2 linked regions of the Oreochromis niloticus genome follow. The protein of the gene in region 2 interacts with the protein of the main gene of each other region in a pairwise test. Links are inferred from orthologs where the notes say so. Each region holds a gene or a part of one and is shown on either strand. Other genes may lie near its edges.

Evidence for each region. The genes of interacting proteins can lie anywhere in the genome.
Region 1: the proteins of drap1 (region 2) and gtf2b interact in binary tests that used the Homo sapiens proteins (3 or more experiments, as listed by UniProt). The two-hybrid records come from large-scale screens. The link is inferred for Oreochromis niloticus from reciprocal best matches to the Homo sapiens genes DRAP1 and GTF2B.

What each region holds. Positions count from the first base shown.
Region 1 is NC_031982.2:10,684,398-10,692,207, forward strand, and holds the start of gtf2b (transcription initiation factor IIB), read right to left. Parts: upstream 3,039-7,810; 5' UTR 2,917-3,038; coding exon 2,900-2,916; intron 1-2,899. UniProt on the Homo sapiens protein: General transcription factor that plays a role in transcription initiation by RNA polymerase II (Pol II). Involved in the pre-initiation complex (PIC) formation and Pol II recruitment at promoter DNA.
Region 2 is NC_031967.2:4,878,454-4,885,949, reverse strand, and holds the start of drap1 (dr1-associated corepressor), read right to left. Parts: upstream 3,064-7,496; 5' UTR 2,916-3,063; coding exon 2,874-2,915; intron 2,284-2,873; coding exon 2,211-2,283; intron 2,006-2,210; coding exon 1,912-2,005; intron 780-1,911; coding exon 654-779; intron 1-653. Other genes in the region: lg3h11orf68 (UPF0696 protein C11orf68 homolog), read left to right, coding at 4,036-4,779; rela (transcription factor p65), read right to left, coding at 6,205-7,013, 7,188-7,259, 7,370-7,450. UniProt on the Homo sapiens protein: The association of the DR1/DRAP1 heterodimer with TBP results in a functional repression of both activated and basal transcription of class II genes.

The DNA of each region.
Region 1 (7,810 bases), on a different chromosome or scaffold from region 2:
GTTAATTCGGTTGCACCGACTCCCCATTAACGTCCACGTTAAGATCCTGGGTTTGACTTTTAGGGTTATGCATGGACAGGCACAATTGTACATCAGTGAACTTTTACATCCCTGGCAGGTTCCCTGAAGTCATGTGATCAGGGCCTGTCGGCTGTGCATCATACAAGGCTGAGAACTAAATGAGAAACAATTCAGACTCTGGAACTCTCTCTCCCACTGAGCCTGAGATTGTTGAACTCTGATCTCGTTAAAAAAAAAAAGCTTAAAAAATTTTAGGGCATTTTCACAAAATTATTTTACTCTGGTCTGACTCAGCTGATCAGTTTGCAAACTTGCTGCTTTTCCCCGTGTTTTGGTTTGTTTTCACACAGAAAAATTCAAGTGAATGTCAAGCGAATAAAAAAAATGTGTCATAACCAGTGTTGGTCAAGTTACTTGAAAAAAGTAATCAGTTACTAATTACTGATTACTTCCCCCCAAAAGTAATCCCGTTACTTTACTGATTACTTATTTTCAAAAGTAATTACTTACTTAGTTACTTTTTAAAAACACGATTTACAACCTGAATAGGTGATAAAGCGATAGATTTTTCTGCATAATCCATCATACAAAATGTAATCAAATGGAAATGTCTCTTTTTAAAGCTTGTTTTATTAGTGTTAATCTTTTAACTTTATGCATTAAGCAAAAACTTAATTATATGCAACATTCTCTGACTGGAAGAAATTTGTTTAACATTTAAACCTATTTTCTGCACATTCCAGCTCATAAAATAAAATATGTTTTTGTGTTTACACTCACTCTTTCAAATAGATGCAAGTAAAACACAGCAGAAAATAAATAAAATCAAAGACTAGCGGTCCTGTTGCTCTATTTTCACCTGTAAAGCAGGACTGGGGTAGGCGGAGGTTTACCCTGGTGCAGGTGTGCCGCAGCGGTCAGTGGAAGAATCCGCGAGTTTCTCTGTGAATTTCACATTACGTCGCAGTACACTCTGTGCTTGCTTGGAAGTTTAGGGGGTTTTTTTCGCTGTAAAAAGTTTTCTTCCCACGCACAACGGACACTAATGTTTTTGTCACTTTTTATGGAATCAAACTCAAAATAAGGTCAGTACTTCCACGCTTTAAACGCTGCATGCTACACTCTGTCCCGCACTCGATATATTATGATCTGCACACAGCTGTTGTCAGGAACGTCGCACTCGCTTACGTCACTGTCATGAGACGTTCTCTCAAAAAAATCACGGTTTTAGTAACGCAGTAACGCAGCGTTCCTACGTGAAAGTAACGGTAATCTAATTACCGTTTTTGCAATAGTAATCCCTTACATTACTCGTTACTTGAAAAAAGTAATCAGATTACAGTAACGCGTTACTGCCCATCTCTGGTCATAACAAATCATATGAGAATGTTCAGTCCGCTCACTGGCCAGATGTGTCTGGGGTGGAAGCAACAAAAGTAAATACAGGAATAACGTCCTGTGTGAGAAACCTGAGAATTTATGTTCATTTCACGGTTAGTTGAAAGGAGATTTTCTTGAGTTATATATAGAGATATACATTCTTACTTAGTTTAGGTAATCTGTGAGAGTAGTGGGTGTTGTTCTTTGCCGCAATGACGAAAAGTAACAGAACAGTCAAAGAGTGGGAGGTTTCTGATTAAGGGTGGATGAAACAAATAAGGTATCTTTTTTTATCTGTTTAATCAAGAGAAATCCACATCTCTTTGACAGATGCTTGTCAATACATGACCTTCCGGGTCTGTAACCACACAAGGTGTTATACACAAATGTACATTTCTGTCACTGGCAAATTAAACTGTAACCCACTTTTTTTTTAGATCATGGATGGTAATCTCTTCACTGTTGGTGGATTTCTGATTTATATTACATTAGGGGTGGGTTTTGATTATCGATTTTCTGTGTTTTATCCTAAGTTACTTTGACACAAAGGCATCTGCTGTGATGCTTACACCTTTGATAAAGTCTCACAAGTGTCAGCTTTCTTTTTATAGATATAAAAATATGGATATGTACTGATAAATGATAAGATTTATAATATTTCTGACTGTCTGAGGCAAAATTTCCCTGATTCAAATTGAATCCATTCGAGACCTTGTGAATCGGAATCGAATCGATTCTAGAAATCTGTGACGACACCCAGCCCTATATTACATACGTACAATATTGAATTTGAAAAAAAACCAAACATCCATCGCTTCTTTACATTTTGCAAGGAAAACGGGAAATACTTCACAATAGCAATCATTAAAAGAGTGGATGTGAAACTCTCAGTCAAATTAGCTCAATCAACTGCACTTTACTCCTTCATACGCACATCCTTACCGTGCCACTGATAGCAAAATCAATAATGTTAGTAACTTTGAATGCAGAAATTATTTGCTAAACTACAGTAATTTATTATACGTGCTTAAAGGAGGGTACGTCAGACCACTGTTGTGTAAAGGTAGACAGACTGCACGGGAAACTGCGTGTGTTTACAAATGATTCACAACTGCTCACTGAGTGGTAACGTCAACAACACATTAGCTTCAGTTTCAGCTTCACACCATTGTAATACACGAAAAAAGTTGAAATGTGGACAAACAAGTCTACAATGCAAAGACGATAACGTGGCAAAAAGCAGGAGCATCAGCACCACATCGCTGTCCAACAAAAACACCGACTTCTGGTAACATCTAATGGCTAACTGCTAGCCAGCTAACTAGCTGTGCTAACAAATAGCACAATGGAACGAACACCGATCGGTAAGCACAGGGACGTATAGTGTTTTAGCTTTAGGAACCACGGCGCACACCAGTATTTGTTCTTATGAATTAACATCTTAGAACCACATGCAAAGAAAGTATAGGTATTACATTTACTTGGCTCTATCACTTACCGGCTTGTAGAGGCCATGTCACTTCTTACTCTGCCTCAGAATCAAAGAAACAAATGAGTGTGGCACCTCTATTTATAACCTCTTCTGATCACGTGTCCACATGAGTACGGGAAAAGAAAAAGACCAAATTAAATAGAGGTAGCCTTCAGTTTCTTTTACGTTGGGCTGTAAAAATGCGTCACATGAATACGCAATATTTGTTTTGTTTTTGGACATTTTCATTTATTGTCAAGAACGATGTACAATGACAATACATTAATGGTTACGCGAGCTAAGCCAGCCTAACGTTAGAGTTTTCTGTGACATGAACGTGTCTGTTTATCTGGCTAATCGCCAAACCGTACTAAAACCACTAAATGATGTGTGAAGTGACTTTCACAGGAACGTGGATGCATTATAAACACCTATAAAAACATAAATAAATGTTGTTATGCTTGATTCTAATCTGCTTCTGACTGCAGCTGCAAAAACACAGAACACCACGAATTTCGTCAATAAAATTCATTTCAGTTTGAACTACTGACAAAGTATAGTGACTGTCATGTCTCCTTCATTACACCGTGGGACGGTAACAATCAATCAATCTTTATCGACAGACTTTATGTCCATAGTTAAACAAAAGAAACAACAAAACACAACACAACATATAAACCTTAATTAAAAAAATAAAATATTTGAAAGATATAAAACCATAATATACATAAAATACACATTTACTTAGAAATCAATAAATACACAAACACTTCAACCCGTGCTTCCTCAGAGTGAATGAGTAACGGGAACCACTCACTGTCAGCTCTGTGATTGCTAAAATTATACTGTAATAGTATTTGCCTGCACAAAGAGTTTCCACGTTGTCCATATATGTCATCATCATCATCATTCATTTAATCAGTAATAAAGTGACCAAGGTATTTCACCTTTTATGAACCTCAAGAGTATCGTCGGACAGTTTAAACACAAGGAAATTTAGCTGTTTATCTTGCTTTGTTCTACATGTCAAGATAGCACTTTTAACAGCGTAGTACTTTATATCATATAGCACACCATATTCAGTACAAATATTAAGAAGCTACTGTAATCCAGCACTACTTGGACTAAAAACAACCAGTTCATCTGCATACATATGATGATTCATCAATGTTTCACCTAATATACATCCAGTGTTACAGGTTCTCAGCTGTATGGACAATCATCATCAACATATAAATTAAATAAAATTGGAGACAAAATCCCACCCTGTCTGACACTATTGCTAACACCAAAGGGGGCAGAAATGCCACTTCCCCATTAACCTGCATCTTCTGATGAGCGTACCAGTAAGACAGAATCCTCACAATCTATCCAGGAACTCTCCGTCGCTTCAATTTATCAAAACGTTTTCCAGGGTTCACTCGATCAAAAGCTTTAGAGGCATCAATGAAACACATAAGGGCAGATGAATTTTAGGACCTATACAAACTGACTGTTCCCTTGAGTGCATATATGCACATGTCCGTGCCATGCTTTGGTTTGAAGCCAAACTGATTATCCAGGGAAGAGATGAACACACTAACTCTATCAAACAAGATTTTTTCTAGCACCTTAGATAAAATACTGGCTAGTGCAACTCAATTTTACAGCTTTGTCCTTTTTAACTGCTACAAATAAAATACATAACATTGAGTCTGGTAGTTTGCCATGAATCATAAGCCTTTAATGTCTAATTGTATGCAGGTTAAAGTTTCACTGTCATATTTTTAATGTTTGTTTGTTTTTTTATCTCTGATTGGAGGCACTCATAGGGATCATTTTGTGAGAAAGAAGGGTCATGGGCCCACTGTTCTTTACCAAAAGTGGTGATAATTGGCACTGTCCCTTTTCGTACTTGGAAGTGTTGGTGACTATGTGGTGATCTTCGAATTTTTTCCTGTAAGAGGATACCACAGAGAGTAGGCCTACTCGAACCTTAGGGCTAATGGATCCGCAAGGCAGAAAAGCCCAGCAATATCGGCTGTCTCCTCCTATCCCGTTATCTCTGGTTTTGTGTCGAGCCAGCTAACACAAAGAAATCCTGGCTATGTTGAACTTCATTCATTGTAGACTATACCCCTCACACTGTCAGATAGACCACTAAAGCAAACCTTTAACTACCGGCCAAAACAGCCTATGCAACAGACACATGGTACTGCATAACCTAACAAATACAAACCTCACATTGCACCAGACTGTGACACAAATTGTGATTGTGGTTAGCCTGTGTTGTAACACAAACCCATCAGTGGCTCAATAGTTGAGAAAAGTTAACTGAATCTTTCAAACTTCTTTATTTAAAACAAATCTTTAAACTGCACAGTTTTTTTTTCTTTTCATAAGAGGCAACAAAGGTCTGCCAGATTGCTGTCAGTTTGTCTGTGTGACTCAGTACCAGTCTGTGTAATAATTCTTTGGCATATGCAGGAAACCACAGTCGCAAAGACTCATATGATTTGGTCAGGTTTTGTGGTAGCAAAATAACAAAGGCAAGGATCTGAGGCAACTAAACCTGAGTGAGATAAACACAAATACAATTGTGTTTGCAACTTATATTAATGTCTGTTGCTTAAAGAAAATGCTTTCAGCTGCAGTCTGCACCTACTGCATTATCATTACATCAGCACATAAGCCAGGACAGTCAGTGTGCATCAGGACAACACCAGATGGAGCTAAAAAATAAAAGCAGTGACTGAGGTGTGGAATATGCACATGCTACGAGAGCTCTGCAATACTTACCATGTTTACAGTTATTGGTTATCATTCAGCATGATTTGGTTCAGGTTTGCTTGAACAGTACCACGACTCTGAGACTGTAACTCTTTGATGAGTGTATACATCTTATATCTGCAAAGCATGGCTGATTCTGGCTCGTTGAAAAAAAGCTTTTGTATGGTTATCCTACCAAAAGAACCAAAAAAAACAAAAGAACACTCCAATGTGTTTCGGTTGTTCAGGAAATGATACAGAGGACAGCTGTGCACAGCGAGATAATCTCATTTTTTGCTGCACAAATGATATTTGCCTGAAACATGGCCTCATGTGATGCGTTTATAAATCTTTTAATATGCAATAGCTTTATGAATATTTGAAAAATGTTATTAGCAATGATCAAAACAGAGGCAAAGCAGAAACATAAAAGAAGACCAACAGGAAAATGTCCCTCTTAATGGTAATTTACTAACAATGACAAATATAACATACATACATACATGTGCAGAATTCAGCGGCCTGTGAGGTTTATGACTGTGCTGGTTACTCCATTAGAGACGCACTGCTGCAAGCGGAAAATGGTTACACTTAAGCAGGCTATGGCATGGGGTTACAAAATGCTTTTCTTACTCAAGATCCCTTTAACCTTTGAAAATATCTTTCACTTTACACCTTCAAAACAGCCCAAATTATCAGGCTTCATACGTGGCTTTAAGTGCTCCTTCAGCCTTTTCTCTCTGTTTCACTTCCATAAGAATGGCTTCTTGACAGCCACACTTCCACTGAGACCATTTCTGATGAGGCTTCAGAGAACATTAGATGGATCAACTGAAAAGTCAGATGCAGCTCTCATGTCCTGTGCGTTTTGAAGATTCAGCTAAAGAAATGAGAACAGATTGTATGATTTTTGTGATGTGCTGCTAGTAATAAAGTGCCTAGAAATTTAACTTAAAATTGACACTTTGCTAAGCTGTCTGTTATGTGTGGACACAACTCATTTCATCTCTTGAGTCATTCAGAGTGCGTTTTATATGCTTTAATGATTCATAAGTCCGTGTTTAGTCTGGCGAGCCATTGCTCAAGAAAAAAAAAACAAGAAACGTCTGGCTCCTTGGAAGCAAATTGTAAAGAAATGTTCAGTGTCAAGATTAAATACCGTTTCACCAAATTACTGGAATGACTGATCTTCTGTTATATTCAAATCTTTTACAATGGACCAAAAATGCCCCCCAAGCCTTTTCAAATATTTTTGTTTGTCTTTCAGTATAATCTTTGTCTTTCTAGTGAAATGTTTGCCTGACTCGTGCTTTTTAATATCACTGATAGCGAAAACCCTTGAATGGGCCAGCTGTTTCTGTGCAGATTCCACTTGGAGATATTGTTACAAGTCACAGCATAATGACATAAAAATGGTAATGTGCTCAGTCTGCTTCTTTGTCTCAAACACATGCAGATGCACAAAGAGTAACAACTACCTCAGGGCCTCAGAGGTTGTTATCCATCATTTTCCTGCTGCATCACCACATTATCATTCTTTATGACTGTCATATTACTACATTTTCTTCTCTAAGTATATCCAACAAATCTTTATTGATTGCATTCATCCACCAATCCCAAGCCCTCCCCCAGCACATAGCTAGCATTAGATTAGTTAGTCTAACTAACCAAAGGCTGAATTTCCCTCTCCACTCTGTGTGCGCGTGTGTTTGTGTGTGGGTGAGAGCTGTATGTGCATATGGGGGAAATTAACTGCCATAGAAACAGGTCTGTTTGTTTGTCTTTGTTGGTGCTTTGTGGCTTTGAAAGAAGCTGAATGACTGTTTATTTTTCCTACTTCTACATAGGGACCTCAAATGTATACATGTGCAGTTATTTCACTGATTAATGCAAAGGCTGACGCAAGAGTGTGATGTTGTGCAGCGCATTCTTTAGAAATCTGAGACGGAGATCCATGCTGAATAATTTATGCCACTTGTAAGCCTCACCACACCGGCCATAATCCTCGCCACAGTCACATAAACCAAAGCAGGTTTGGCATGAGGGCAGTGGCCAAATTTAAACCATATGAATGGTTATAAAGGTGGTCATGGAGTGACTGGGAGTTGTGTAACAGCACTTTGTGAGATCAGAAGGTTAAGTGAGTCCGCTGTCTTTTTTCATTCACTTCTCTTTGTGCAAACACAGCCA
Region 2 (7,496 bases):
AAAATTACTCTGAGGCACTTGCTGACACCAAATGTCTAAACATTACAAGTTTTACGACCACTTTGAATTGAATCTGAATCCAATCAGCCGCAGTCTTCAGAGAAAAGAAGCCTTCTCTTACTCATTTAATTCATGTCTAATTGCCCGCCAAGCTCTCCGCTACAAATTAGCTGTGGTGCCGGTGTCTGATCTGACAGTCAATACTGCATTTTCTTGTCTACAATTCCTCAATAATTAATTTTTGCTCTGGCCAACTCTTTCATTTTCTTCTGTTATTTTGGGGGAGATAATCTAGAATCACAAAACTAAAGGAACATAGGAGTACGGTAACACTGCAAGGATTATAGACATATCGCAGCTGTCGGTTCCAATTTACAGCAGTGCTCATTTCCAGAAGAGGAAAAGATAACGTGCACAGATTCTGTCTGTTCGTGCGAATCATTTTTAGTTTAAACCGATGTGCGTGTGTGCACTTATCAGAGCAGACTGAATTACAAACTGCTTAATGAAATAAGTCCAAATTATCTGCAGCTGGATTGGCTGCCTCATATCACCCTGGAGTGTTTTCACTGTGTATGTGAAATACTCCTTCGCTTTCAAAGCATCATGACTCTTTCTCTACATGTTTGGGTGTCTGTGTGAGCAAATATTACCTTCGTGGGACTTTCTCTCCTCCCCCCTCGGTGTGGTTCTCTTCCCCCTCTCCCTGCATGTCTGGCACCGCTGCAACAAGGTCTTTTAAAAAATCAAACTGCTGCTCCAGCTCAATGCATTGCTTTCTGTGAATAAATATGAACAGTTTTCTCCTCAGCCTTACTTGCCAAGTGAAATGTAAGCTCGTATCAAAAAGACAGCAAGCTTAATGGTGTACATACTCATTTTAGCAACACATACAGTCTGAGTCACAGGGAAAGATTGTTTTGGCGGGCTCTGTCTTACACAGGCCAGAAATACTTTCAGATACAAGGGATTCGGCAATGTGCTGCAAATGTGCTCCACAGCACTATCAGGCTCCCACCACACAGTAAATCATGCTGTGTAACAGGATGCCATTTTTTTTGCAAAAGCGGCTCATAATAATTTTCCTTACTTATTTATTTATTTATCTTTTTGCAATGTATAGGGCCAGTCCTTGTCAGTTCATCAAATGCTTTCTCACCTCACCATCTTACCTGAAAAAACATTCCAGGTGGAGGATACACATCCTAAATAGGAATCGTAGAAAGTTTCAGGTCCTGGCTGTTATTAGCTTTCTCAAAAATATTTCAAGGGATGATATTTCCAGGTTTTTAGACATTTTCCAATATCATTTTTGAGGGGCTATTTTAATATGACATTATCTACTTTAAAGTGTTTTAGGCAATTTTTTCTTAGGAAGATGAGAAAGAAAAAAAATTATGCTAGGGAATTATTCAAAAACACTCCTATTTTCAACATTTCACTGAGGATTATTTTCTTGAGTAAACTAATGACTGTGAAGACCTGAAATTTTGCACAATTCCCATTTTGTGAAATTTGATTGAATGAGATGAAAGAACTTTGTACTGTTAAAACTAATCAGAAGAAAACTGACTTAAAATAAGTGTATTGTGTATATTATGAATAATCGTTATTTTTAAATGTGAATCAAGCAAAGCTACTTTAGTAAAGTCCAAGAATGAAATTATCGAGCTGGAAGTTCACCATGAGTCCACTTTAAAAATAAAGAAAATAAAGGCCTGACAGCATTTCAGCCACACTCAATAAAAACAAATACAATTCTATATAAACAACTTTCCCCTTTTCTTCAACTACCTCTTTCTGACCCTAATATACCTGAACAGCATATATCTGAACAGCAGATGGCTTTGCCTTCCTAAGAAGTTCATCTCCAACACAATGCAACACAATGAAGACAAACACAGAACTTACAGATGTGCCGTTGTCATTGTCTTTGCATTCCTAGATTGGGTGACTTGACAAGCCTTTGTAAGCAACGACTCCAAAAAAAGCTCCAGGGCTCTCGCTGATATCTTGGATAAGGGAAGTACAGTGAAGCAGTTGTGTGTTTGAACTTTAAAATCATCAAACATGCAATAATAGACAACTTGACACAACAACACAACAGACTGAGGAAGCATTTTTCTCTAATTATTAATCAGTCTTTGACTTTTACAATTTATCATTCAAGACAAAACTTGCACAGTGACGACTGCAGGCAGAAAGGATACATATAATAACAGGCACTGCTGCAGCCACTTTGCCTATTTCTTCATCTGTCTGCATAATCTTCTTAATCCTTGCCTGAAATGAGAAAAGGTCGATTTTTATGCATGTGTCTACAGAAACGCTTAAAATTTTCTTTTCCTTAAAAAAAAAATCATTTTCAGTGAAAACGCACTGAAATTCAGGGACAACTTAGTAAAGAGTTTGCAGTACACCACATCGAATAATGTGAGGTCCCCACAAAGTAACGGCAATCATTCCTTTTACACTAGTCACGTAGTGTGAGGATTGTAGATACATTATGCAGCTTATTATAATAAAGAATGGATTTATTCACATTTATTTGCGTGCCGCTTAGCCTAGCTTGAGATGCTAAAAACAACGTCAATTAGTAGACCAACTTAAATAGCACGCCTGCTATGTGTGTACACCACCAACTAATGACATATAGGGGATGTTTGGTCACTAACTTCATGAAATCAACTACTTTTCACTAAGGCACGTGCTTTGTAAACTAAATGGTTTGCGAGTGTTAGATGGCTTGTCTGCTCTCTAAGCAACAAAAGAGGCCGAATTCCACTTAAGCTAGTTACAGAACTTAGCTTTCCATGTTACACTTTGCTAACGTTAGCTTGCTTTGACACCGGCTCAGCACAGTTTAAACTTACCGGAGGAAATCTGGCGTTGTATTTCTTCTTTTTGCTGGGCATAATTAAATTACCTGGGTGGCTAAACTAAACTAAAATACAATATATGCTATATTCGTATTCTATTTCATACAGAAATTCGCCTCCACCGCGCACACACCAGATAGTGGTGGCTATCCGGCTAACTAGTTAGCACGTCGTCTTCGTCACTCGTTCCTCGGTGCGGTCAGTTTGTTTCCGCAGGGTCTCCGTGCCGTCAGGTTGGAGCGCATGTTGTTCCGCAAATGCAAAGAAACGAAATACTTTAACGATAGTAATGGAACAGGTTTATTTTTTAAAGCTTAACAAACACAAACACTGATGTAGGAAACTTACATATTTAACATGTACACATACCGAGGAACATGCAAGTTTCTTAAAAGTCGCTGAATCTAGTACAACATAACTTATTTTTATAATTATGTTATAGCAAAACGTAAAAATATATATTTATATCATGTGTTCCATACGGTCGAATTTGTGGACGAGGTACGAAATTTAATTGATGTATAAATAATTATTAGTTAAACTGTCAGCCACCTGAGTGGACTTTGGCTCTTAGATACGGAGGAGCTGCTGTGCTTATGCGGAAGATCAACACTGAACAACAAACTTGGACATCTACGGGTAGAGTAAGCCTTTATGTTCAAAGTTTAACATCGACGTGCGATTATTTACGTTTTAAATGGGAAAACTGTGAATGTTAAAGCGTCAGTTGTATTCAACAGCTGGCTAGAAATGGTTAATGTTTCTCTAAAAGGACGAGCGTGTACATTTATAAAGACTAGCTTGTCGGCTAGCTACAACAAGGCTAAAGCAGTCAGAAAGCTGTTCTACGTGTTCTTTGACATGTCAGCTGTAGGCGGTACACTGGGGTCGATAGCAGCTTTAGTGTGAAACAGAATCAGTGGTAGAGAAACGCTAACTTTCGCTGTTGTAGCAGGCTAGCTATTAGCATTCATAAGCAATTCAGTTGTCCACTTCTGTCGAAGTTTGGCAGGGTTGTAAGCTAATAAATCACAGCAAAGGGGTTGTAAGCTAACACAGAGGCTAAACCAGTGGTTTTTATAAAAATAATAACTGCATTCTTCAACTCAACAGGAAGGCTTCAGAACTTGTTTACTCGTGTAACTGCTATACCATTATGGAGGAAGAAGAGGGCCCTGTTGATGGCGAGATGAGGACCCCCTTTGCTGCAGAGACCTACGCTGCTGAAGCCATGGCTGCAGACATGGACCCCTGGATTGTTTTTGACTCTAGAAGAACTCCCAGATCCGAGTTTGATGGCTGGTTGGAGAGTAACCGGCCCTCCCAAGTGTCCAGATTTGGAGACGAGGAGGGTGGCGTCAGCCCTGTGGGGTGGATTGCTGTGGTGGGCCCAAACCACTGCCCCAGTGGTGCGGATGTCACAGGACTCCAGGAGAGTTGGGAGAAACTTTTGGCGAGTTCCCGGCCTGTCACCTTCCAGACAGTGAGGGAGCTGGCCCTGAACCATAGGGTACTCTCAGGCAAGTGGCTTATGCACTTGGACACTGGTTTCAAGTTGGACCATGCTTGGGAATGTGTGGCCAGAGCAGCCCTAGATGGCAAGATCTCACTCGTTAAAGTCACCCCATTTGACCGCAAGGCAGAGGGCAAGCAGGTCATTTGTGCCTATAACCAGAACTTCACTGATGAGAATGAGGTCATAAGGCTGGATTCAGTCATTCGTGCCACAGGGGTCAAATGCCCTCTCTCCTACAAGCCAGATGTGTATACATACCTGGGAATCTATCGGAACAACCGCTGGAATGTTTGCCCCACCATATACGAGAGCAAGTTCGACCTGGAGTGTGTGCCCAGGCGTTCCCACATCATCAACAAAGTTACCAATCTTGAGGTAACATAAGCTACTCAGACCAAGAGAGGAGCTTTGCTGTAACAGTATGTGAAGAGGTGCGTGATGATCCCAGGAGATGGGTTGGACAGTACAGTCCTCTGCCTGCAACTATTTAGAACATCATTGGTTGAATTCTGATCACAAGTTCTTCCTTTTTTTTTTTTTTTTTAGAAAACCCCCCCACTAAATTTGTCTCTTTTTGTGTTGTAAAATTTTCTGAATGACCTGAAACACTTTGATTTTTTTGTATTGAAAATATTGTATACATAAGCAAGAATAGTAGTACTAACAAGATTCTAACAGGCTCGAGTGACGGGAAGAAGACTAACGTCCTTGATTTGTATGCACATTTTCAGAAGATCCAGTGAAGCACTCCTTGTTGCTATTTTACATTTGTCTCTTGCGTTCGGCTTTATTTTTTTTTCCTTTGTACTGTATAACAGTTACAGAGTTGCAAAGTAAAATATTCTTTTGAAAATCATCTTTATACGTTGTGGTATTTATTGCCAAAACAGTGTTTTGAATGTTGACAAAGTTAGTCTCATTCTCAAAAAAAAAAAAAGCACAATTATAGTACGATCCACTTTCATAATACATGTAAAAACATAATTACATTTCAGTAAAGCACCTTACTGCAGAGTATAGCAAGTCTGAAACAGTTGAGTTAAAATGCAGCCATTACTGATAAAATAAGTGTAGAAAAACTGATTACAGAGCAGTGGAAACTATTACCAGATAAAAAGCACAATCTCTAGTATAAGCACGTATATAGTAATGTTGCTTGTTTGATAAATGTACACCTTCATTTTGTTTCTAGAACATTCAGATAGTTTGTGTTAACCTTCAGAAAACAACGGTGCAATCCAAAGAGATGATTTTTAAGAACGGACATAATCTGTGTAGACTTACCTCTAGATCTGATTACATATATACGAACCCTTTTGTATAAAGACAAAAAAAGAGAAAAGCTGCACATTTTTGTGGCTACAGCTAGCAAAATTGTTCAAATAACAGTACAAAAACATGCTTAACATGTTCCAAAAATAATCACCACACCGGATACCTTTATCAAAGTACCCATGCTGTCTGTCTTCTTAAAACATTCGCTGGAGAATCTGTCTCCACCATCAATATGTTGACAGTGACCTAAACATTTAGTCACAGATGCTGGACATGGGTTTCACAGGGCATGAAATCTGATCACCTACATTATGGGTTTTGTAATTTATCAGACAAACTATATGACTGGGCAAGGCGTCAGACTGAATACCATAAAGTCATTGCTGGTATTTTAAGAAGTGTGTCCACAGTGAGCAGTGCTGCTACATTCGGTCTCCTGCCTACTTCCTTTTTTGCCTTACAATAATAAAGAAGTTTTAGTCCTGATGGCCACAGGGGAAGATACAACTGGTCTTTGGAAAAATGAAACAAACTTTAAGTCGGGTGTCCTGACACAAACCCAGCTTGGCTTCCACTGTTAAAAATGGAAATAAGACGGTCCTCATCTGCAGACATCAACTCATCGAAGTCTTCGAGCATTTGGTTGTTATTGGGTCTGCTGTCTGTCATGATTTCGTTCTGGAGCAGATGCACGATGCTGTTGGGGTAATTCATCCAAGTGCTTCCTGGAGTGCTGGCAGGGTCAGAAGTGTTCTGAGGTGCTGCACTAGTCTGGGCAGCGGTAGAGGAGGCTGAAGGGCCAGTCTGATGACATGAAGGATGATTTACACCAACAAGCTGGGGGTTCAGAAGATCCTCCAAGTCATCCATGTTGAGGCTGTCCAGGTTGACTGGGACCTGGCCTTCAGTGAAGCTAGGGAAATCTGGGATATCGTCATCCACAAGTGTTGGGTCCGCCCGGAACTGAGTGCTCTGGAGGGCGAAGGAGTTGCTTGTCTGTGAGGAGGCCAAGTTTATTTGAGAAGCTGAGGGCTCCTGCTGGGTGATAGTCGAGGAAATGTTGGGGAAGAATTCATGAAGATCTGACAGGTTGACCGTTGAGTAGTCCTGATTGGAAGTGGAAGCGATGGTAGAGGAGACGGTGGCCGGTGATGGGTTCATTGAAAAGCTAGACACTGGGTTTGCTTTTGGTTGGGAGCCCAGGCCTGTCATCTTCCACTGGTTGGTAGGAGCTGCTGACATGTTAGAGGCTTCTACCTTTGTCTGCTCTGAAAATAGCTGGCCAGGTTGGAAGTATTGGGTATGTGATTTTGCCCCAAGGGGACCAGTAGGCACCACAGCTGCTGCAAACACAAACAAGTGATTTGAGAACTCACTGCAGAAAATCCTTCTCACATATTTCACATACACAAAGTTCACCGCTAATGACTCAACTGCCTTAAGAAAGGAAGATGAGGAGATGTCTGTATGTCTTCAAATGAGTTCAAATAAGGAAGGAACATCTGAAACAGACTCACCAGCTTGTGGAGGCTTGGCTGTCAGCTTTCTCCTTGATGGGTTTAGGTGCTGTCTATCTTGTGGAGTGGTCACTGAAATGTCAGAAGACGTGTTTATAATACCGTGCAGTTACAACAGTGTAACCATTATCCAATTACACTATGCTCAGCTGACAGAAAAAAAAAAAATCTTATCAACGTACCACTAGATAGCAAGGGCCCTAGCTTCAGGTTCTGGAATATGTCTCCTGTCCGCTTTCTCTTCTCACTCAGCCTGTATTCATCTGCAGGGGTGGAAATGATAAAGTTTAAATTTGAGAAATGATACAC